Oryctolagus cuniculus: one gene and its partner. The protein of the gene in region 2 purifies or fractionates together with the protein of the main gene of each other region. This does not show direct contact. Links are inferred from orthologs where the notes say so. Each region holds a gene or a part of one and is shown on either strand. Other genes may lie near its edges. The genes, in order: LARP7 and SRSF6.

Evidence for each region.
Region 1: the proteins of SRSF6 (region 2) and LARP7 purify together in Homo sapiens (affinity purification with mass spectrometry; 3 studies listed by BioGRID and IntAct, with this or other methods). This does not show direct contact. The link is inferred for Oryctolagus cuniculus from reciprocal best matches to the Homo sapiens genes SRSF6 and LARP7.

What each region holds. Positions count from the first base shown.
Region 1 is NC_091439.1:52,309,170-52,312,981, forward strand, and holds part of LARP7 (la-related protein 7), read right to left. Parts: intron 1,910-3,812; exon of another isoform or gene 1,827-1,909; intron 947-1,826; 5' UTR 945-946; coding exon 746-944; intron 459-745; coding exon 358-458; intron 261-357; coding exon 177-260; intron 31-176; coding exon 1-30. UniProt on the Homo sapiens protein: RNA-binding protein that specifically binds distinct small nuclear RNA (snRNAs) and regulates their processing and function.
Region 2 is NC_091442.1:15,437,250-15,441,605, forward strand, and holds the start of SRSF6 (serine/arginine-rich splicing factor 6), read right to left. Parts: upstream 3,034-4,356; 5' UTR 2,862-3,033; coding exon 2,755-2,861; intron 2,527-2,754; coding exon 2,378-2,526; intron 1,147-2,377; coding exon 1,022-1,146; intron 884-1,021; coding exon 675-883; intron 483-674; coding exon 399-482; intron 294-398; coding exon 1-293. UniProt on the Homo sapiens protein: Plays a role in constitutive splicing and modulates the selection of alternative splice sites. Plays a role in the alternative splicing of MAPT/Tau exon 10. Binds to alternative exons of TNC pre-mRNA and promotes the expression of alternatively spliced TNC.

The DNA of each region.
Region 1 (3,812 bases), on a different chromosome or scaffold from region 2:
GCTGTGATTAACATTTTTGGGGAGTAATTCCTGTGATAAATTAGAAACAGTATTAACATGTAATAACAGCCTTTCACAATTCTTGTATGTCAATAAATTTTAAACTTAAAACACTAAAAATGTGTCTGTCATTCTACTAGGGACCTGGGTTCTAAGCTTCTCAAGAAATGGCTTACCACATACACAGTCCGCTCATCTTCATCTTTTGGTCTTTCACCCAGAGGTTTTTTCCTCCTGATTCTGGTGCCTTCTAAATCCAGCTTTAGAACCAAATATTAAAAATAATTTAAATATTAAAATTAGTACAACTGAAATAACTGAAATAAAATTGCAGTAAATGTAAAATTTAAAAATTACCTCCACAATTGCTGAACTTTTCAATGCTCTGGCTATTAACTTCCCATCAGTAGTCAGTTTTTTCATTTTGTTAAAAGACAGGAGAAGTGAAATATCTACATCTAACAAAAAGTGCATAAATATGACAGTAAAACACTGAGTCTACACCATCTGTGTAAATACAATTTTTGATTCAATACTTTTGAAAAGTTGTATATACAGATCTTGTAGAAATTTAGAAATGACACCTGAGAATTAGACTGGGTGAAATAAATGCCTCTCATTGGGAAGTGTAAAATATTTGAATTGGTATTTTGCTGCTTTTATATCTGGGCAGCAGATAAAATAGGAATTCATTTCTTACCCAGTTATATACATTTATTTATACATAATTTATTTCTATACTTACATCCATCTCTTGATTTTTCTATCTGTTCACGAAGGAATCTATCTTTGTGGAGATTTGCATCCCCAAACCAGAAGTCTACTTGCTTAGCGATGTCTGCAAGCACCTGTTTAACTCTAGACCTTTTCTTTTTTTCTACATCTTTTTTCTTGTCAGTGCTTTCCTCTTCTATACCCTTTTGATTTCCATTTTCAGTTTCCATTTCTGTGAATTAGAAAAGTAAATCACAAATTATAGTCAAAATGGGAAAAATCCAAATATTAACTGCCTGTCAGAATAAAAGTACCTTTTAGGTAAAACATCCTAGCCTAGTGACAGTGGATAAAGGAAAATAAACTGCTTGCTTGATTTTGAAAACATCTGTTGGTTCCTATAAGCAGTGAGTTCAACTCAAAGCTATAGAATTAGCCTTTTGTTTTTCAAGCCTTTAGTTTCCAACCCCTTTACCTCACCTTTTGTTCCTTTAGCTTCAGCTATAATTGGTCCTCATATCCTGCAAACTCCATGGTAAATCTTCTGAATTTACAGTCTCCCTGAAACACTCCCTTTATTTTTCTCCACAGAATTTATCATCTAACATTTCAGCAGTTTAAACTTCCTTAATTCCTGGCATACCTTCAAAAATAATTACATAAAAGCATCAGGTTTAATGCTGGCCAGTCTGAGATTGACTTCAGGTTCCCACAATATGGTTTACTTTATACAGGGTCATTTTTAATCAAACTGAAATCAACACAGTATTAAAGCCTATTTCTGTCTCAAGTCTGACTGCCAGCTAGAATCATTAGTTGTACAGCGGTACTTCTGACATAACAGAAAAAATGTTTTTCAAGCAGAATTTGGCTTCTAAAACTCCAAAGCCTTATACTATTGATTGAGGATGACCTAATTATAGTATTCAATGGTGGGATCTTTGCAAAGGTTATTAGGTTGCTGAGGTGAGCCCATGACTTAATCATGAAGAGAGGCACAGGGACACAGCATGCTCTGTGTCTCTGCTTCCTGGTCCACTATCCTAGGGCCTCACAAAAAGTTGACTAATACTCAGTATAAAGATGTTAATAAAGAGGTTAATGACTCTCACCTCAAATCTTCAAATATGCAGGCCAACAAAAGTTAGCAGAAGAGTATTTTTTACAACAGGCTTCAGCTGATAATCAGGCACCACTTAAAAAATATACATTATGAAGTATTTAGTTGATGGCATAAAAGGTAATAATTATTAAAATAATCAGGTGTTATTTAGTATCAAATAACTTCATTTCTTCATATTCTTACTTCTACCCATCCTATCAGACTTTTCTTCATACTATTCCAGTAAAATTGCAAAGGCATTAGTGAGCCCCACTGTCTACAAAAACTTTCAATAGCATTTGCAGTTGATAATTTCCTCCTTGAAAATATCTTCTTTGTATCGCTTCTAAGAGAGTTTTCCTTCTGCTTAATTTCCTTTGCAGACTTCTGGGTTCTACCTTTACATGCTGCCTGTGATTGGACTAGGTCTTGAACATCCTTCCTATTTACACATTCATGCTTTCTGAGGGTCTTGGCTTTAAGTGGCTATTTTAGTGTAAGGCCACCACAAAACACACCAAACACCAGAGTAAGGGAAAGGGCTTATTGGGGCAAAGAAGGAAAAAGAGGGAGAAGGAGAGCATAAGAGAAATCAAGAGAGAGAACGAGACAGTCCATGCTTTCCAAGGATCTTGGCTTTAAGTTCCACGGCTTTATGTGGCTATTTCACATTTTCTCATTAGATCCCCACTCCAATGTCCAATGGTCCATCTGACACTGCCATTTGTTTATGTAAAGCACGAGGTGGGGAGAGGAGGATGGGACCTTTTTTTTTCTGCCAAGGGCCATTTGGATAATTATAACATCATTCACAGGCCACACAAAATCATCAACTTAAAAATTAGCCTGCTGTAGATTTATTAAATTTATAGAGTCCCACCTGTGGTTGCCTTGACAAGGTTGGCCAAAGGATTCCTGGGTCTGTCTTATATGGCCCATGTTCCCCACTCCTGATCTAAAGGATATCTCAAAATTAACATGGCAAAAATAGAACTTACAGAGTTAAAACAAACCCACTCTTTCTTCAGCCCTGCCCCAGTTTTCCCTATCTCAGAGTCACCAATTACAAAAATGCTAAAGAGGGCAAAAATCCTGAAATCATTTTGAATTCCTCTTTACCACAAACCCCACAGTCAATTCATCAACATTTCCATTAGCTTTACCTTTAAACCAGACCCTGAATATGAATACCTGTTACCCCTTTCACAACTATCTCATCCAAACAATCATCATGTCTTGCCTAAACTACTGTTAACATCTTCTATACTAGTCAGCCTGCTTCTACTTTTTCCTTTATACTCAATTCTCCAGATAAATTAATAATTTAAACATGTAAACCCATTATGAGAACTCCATACACAAGTTCCTGCACAAGTTTCTTAAAATAATTTGACTGTTTATCTACCTCACTAGAACTTAAATGCTATGAGAGGACTTTATCATTATCTAAGTATCTGTTGAATACTTAAATAAAAATTATTTAAAATTACTTGTGAAATGTTAAACATTTCAAATTCTTTCGTAAGTCGGTAGACCATAAATAAAATACAACGGGGTTGGTGCTGTAGCAAGTAAAGCATCCCATATGGGTGCTGGTTCGAGTCCTGGCTACTCTTCTTCTCTGGCTCCTTGATTCTGTGCCAGGAGCCCCTATACCCATGCAGGAGACTGGGAAGAAGCTCCTGGCTCCTGGCTTTGGACTGGCCCAACTCTAGCTGCTGAGGTTATGTGGCAAGTCAGCCAGTGGATGCAAGTTCTCTGTCTTCCTGTAAACTCTGCCTTTCAAATAAATGAAATAAATCTTTTTTTTTTTTTTTAAAAAGGTACAAGTGTAGTCTATGATTATCACTGTAGCAGGCTCCAGTGTCAACAATGAATCGTAAGGAGCAGACAACCTGTTTTCCAACTAGTTTCCTTGTCTGAGCCACCACTTAAGAAGCAGTGGACAGAGCTGCACATGCACATAAGTCACAATTCTCCCAGAAAACTTTCCCCT
Region 2 (4,356 bases):
TTTTTGGTGGAGGGGACACAGAACGAGCCTTTGAGGGCGGAACAGGTAGGGGTGAATTGGAACGAGATTGGCTCCTTGATCTGGATTTTGACTTTATGTCACCTTTTCCATTTTCTTTGGGGGACCGAGAGCGAGACCGAGACCTGCTTCGGGATTTCTCATACTCATCCTTAGATCTGCTTCGAGAACGTGACCGAGAGCCCCGATCAGACTTGGGTTTGGATTTGCTCTTCGATCTAGATTTCCTGCCTTTTGATCGAGAACGCGATCGACCTTTGCTCCGCGACCTGGATCTGGACACAGAAAAGCCCAATTTCTTTTAATGCCTTGCAGCACACACACGCACCCCACGAACAAGCACAGCAGCAGCCAGAAAAAAAGGACAACACAATATTTACCGGGAGCGACTTTTAGAAATACTTCCAGATCTACTGCGGCTGCTCCTGCGACTCCTACTTCGTGACCTTCTTCTAGAACGTGACCTGTAACAGAACCCACAAGGAGCCCTTAACCTCAACAATGTTTGTGCCTTATCAACAGATCAGCCACACACACACACAGAACGCATTTGCTTACCACAAAATTAAATGCACTAACAAAGCATATGGCAAAGAACCCAAGATGCATAACCAGAAGTACCAGTTACTGCTCTCCATGTTCTTCAAACAAGTTACCTAGATCTGCTTCCAGAGTAAGATCGCCTATGGCTTGTTCGTGGCTTATCTTCAATAAGCCTAATATTTCTGCCATTTATTTCTGTACCATCCAGTTTATCCAAAGCACGCTTCATGTCCGAGTAGGAGCGAAATTCAATTACACCTTCATTTGTGCGTTCTTTGTGAGCATCCGCATAGGTTACTTCACCTGCTTGGCGCATGAAATCCTAAAACAGCAACAAGACTGCTCAGGTGCAGAAATCTGAGGGAAAGTATCTATACCATACTGAGTTCTTAAAAAAATAAAGATTGCAAAAGAGTTTACTTTCAGCATGAATCTTAACCCCTTTCATTGTAGCACTTACCTTTAAATCTTGCCAACTGCACCGACTAGAAAGATTTTCTACAATTAGCCTGTACTCTGTACGAACAGGTGGTCCATATTTGTCTCTGCCAGAGGTTCTCCGACTGCTGTATCCACCACCACCACCTTTATCACACGAAGGGAACAATCAGGTGCTTGCAATGGTAAGGATGGATAACGTTTTTGAAAGTTAGTACAAACATATCAACTTTCATATACTGGAGTAGGACTTTGCTATTACACTGCTAAACCTTTGATACATTTGTGATTTGCCATAAATTAAATTAAGGGCAAGTCAAATAGACTAAATCCGACTAAACCTCTCCTACAATCTGTTAGAGAGTGACTGCTCCTTTATTCAATTTACCTCGCTAAGTTTTATTTTACAGAACATTGTAAAATATAAAACTTAACTGATTACATGCATTTCTACATTTTACAAAAATGTTTACTAGTTACACTAAGTACTTACATCACAGTGTGAGGTTTTTGGTGGTGGTTTGGCCACAAAACACGCAAGGTAACAGTCACCTAGTTCAGATTAACCAGTTTTGTCTAACCCTTGGAATCCTCACCATCACCCTGCGTCTAATGGCAAAAGGCTGCTGTCGTCATGGCTTCCGGTAAGGTCAGCCAAAGGGTCATAGGGCAAGGGTCACACAATGTATGGAAAAGCCAAGGCCAATCAGGAAAGGCAGTCATCTTAGCCTCAGTGGACACAGCCTCAGCCCCATTGGTCACTTTCAAATTGAAACATCAAGGACTTGTTAAAAAGTTTGAATTCAACATGCAACAATTTCAACATCAAACATTTAAAATAACCACCCCCACCCGTCCTCCCAATAACATGCCCCGGCAGTTCAAATGCAGCATAAAGCTTCTTTAGATTTAGTTTGTGGTAAAGTACCACGTTAGAATCGCATTTTCTTTGCCCCCACCAATTTTCCTAACTCCTAACTACAGGCTCCGCCCCTTTCCCCGCCCCCGCCCCCACCCCAACTCCCCCACTTCTAGCTAAGGCACTGACAGGTGAGCCGGGGGATTCGGTCAGTACGGCCGCCCCTCGCTCCCTCCGTGGGCAGCACCCACGTCAGTGCCAACGGGGCTCCGCACACGCCACCCCCTCCCACCGCGGCCCGCACCAAGCCCCAAGGCAAACACCCGGACCCAATCCCCGCGCTCCGGTGTCCCCCGGCTTCCCCGGGCAGGCGGGGCAGCGGCGGGGCCCGGGCGCGCCGGGACCAAACGACCCCCGGCCCCCGCGCCTGCCCGGGCTGGGAAGCCCCGCCCTCCACCCCGGTGCCCGCGTCCGCCCCCGGGGTCCCAAGGACGCGGAGCGCGCGGGGATGCGACTCACTGCGGCTTCCGTAGCTGTAGCCGTCGCGATCGCGGCGCGGGCCCCGGGCGTGCTCCACGATCACGCGCTCGCCGCAGAGCTCCTTGCCGTTCAGCTCGTAAACGGCGTCGTCGGCGTCGCGGGAGTCCTCGAACTCCACGAAGCCGTACCTGGGGGCGGCCGAGGGCCGGGCCGGCGGGGGCGTCGTTAGCCGGGGGCGCGCACGTACGCGCCCCCGCGGCCGCCCGCGCGCGCCCGCGGCGCCGCGCCGCCGCCATCTTGGGAGGCCCTGCCACGCGGCGCCGCGGCCTCAGCGGCCTGCGTTGCCGGACGGCCCCCGCCGCCGCCGCCAGGCCCGGGGCGCTGGGCGCGGACGCGGGCGCCCAGACCCGACTCACCCGTTTTTTAGGTCTACTTCGAGGAGTCGGCCATAGCCACTGAAAAAGCGCTGTATGTCCTTCTCCCGGACGTTGTAGCTCAGGCGTCCTATGTAGACGCGCGGCATGTCCGTGGCGGGCGTGGTCCCGGAGGCTGGCTGTCGAACGGCTGGCCGCAAGGCGGTAGCCGCGGTGCGGGTGCGGGGACGGCGAAAGCCCGAACACGCGCCTCACACCGCAGCGGCGGCCGAGTCCAGCCACACAATGGTGCGCGCGCGCGCCAGGGCTACGCTATATGGGCGGCCGGAGGGGGCGTGGCCCGGCGCGTGACGTCAGCGCGCAACACGCTGCCTTCCCGCTGCGAGCGCGGGGCTGGAGGGTGCCGGTGGACTCCGCAGCCCGTGAGATTGCGGTAAAAAGTGTTAGCTTGTTCGCGACCTTGATTTTCTCAAGTCTCCCTACAAAGTTTTGTGAATACAGTGTCCCGTGGTTCAGCCGCGGACTTGTCTTCGGACTTACACCTTTAAAAAACTTCCATAGGGCGATCGCCTGGGGGCTGGTGCTTGGGCGGGACGCTAAAAAAAAATTCCCCGGTTTTCATTGGTTCTCAAGGTTGTCATAATAAGACCCTTGGTTTTTGATTGGGTCCTCCAAACGAGGCTGCGGGTTCCCGCCGCCTATTGGTTCGCGCTCACTTTGGTGGGGAACGCGGTTGAGCAGCCTGTGTAGCAGAACCCGCGGGGCGCGCGAGGGGGTCGCGGTGACTCTGCCAAGGTCGCGCTGTGGGCGCCCAGCCGTGGGGGCCGCTGCCCCTCGGGGGCTCCTCCGCCCCCTTCAGCCGTTCCCCTCCCCCTCATGAAGCGCCGGCCTCTTGAGTCGCCCGAAGGTTGGGCTGTGCGTGGGAATCCCACGCTCGCTGCGGGTGCCCGAGAAGGCTGAGCAAGCCCTCCCACGGCGGAGAGCGTGTCCTAAATGCTAGTCTCTACTCCCAGGGTTGGAAAGCGCGGGAATATGCATTTGTGAGTTTATCAATAGAGATGGCATTTAGTGCTGGAGAACGAGGCGAGAACTGAAATGACATTTTTTAAAGTACTTTTTTTTTAAAAAAATATTTTATTTATTTATTTGAAAGTCAGAGTTACACAGAGAGAAGAGGTAGAGACAGAGAGAGAGGTCTTCCATCCGCTGGTTCACTCCCCAATTGGCCACAACGGACCGAACTGCGCCGATCCGAAGCCAGAAGCCAGGAGCTTCTTCCCAGTCTTCCACATGTGGCTTGGTCTCCCTTGTCGATGCAGGGGCCCAAGGACTTTCGCTGCTTTTCCAGGCACATTAGCAGGAAGCTGGATCAGATGTGGAGCAATTGGGACTGGAACCGGTGCCTGTACTGATGTGGTGCAACAGGCAACAGCTTAACTGGCTAGGGCATAGTTGTGGCCCCGACGTTTATCTTTTTTTTTTAAAGATTTTATTTATTTATTTGAGAGGTAGAGTTACAGACAGTGAGAGAGAGAGAGACAGAGAGAAAGGTCTTTCTTCTGCTGGTTCACGCCCCAGATGGCCCCAATGGCTGGAGCTGTGCCAATCCGAAGCCAGGAGCCAGGTGCTTCTTCCCAGTCTCCC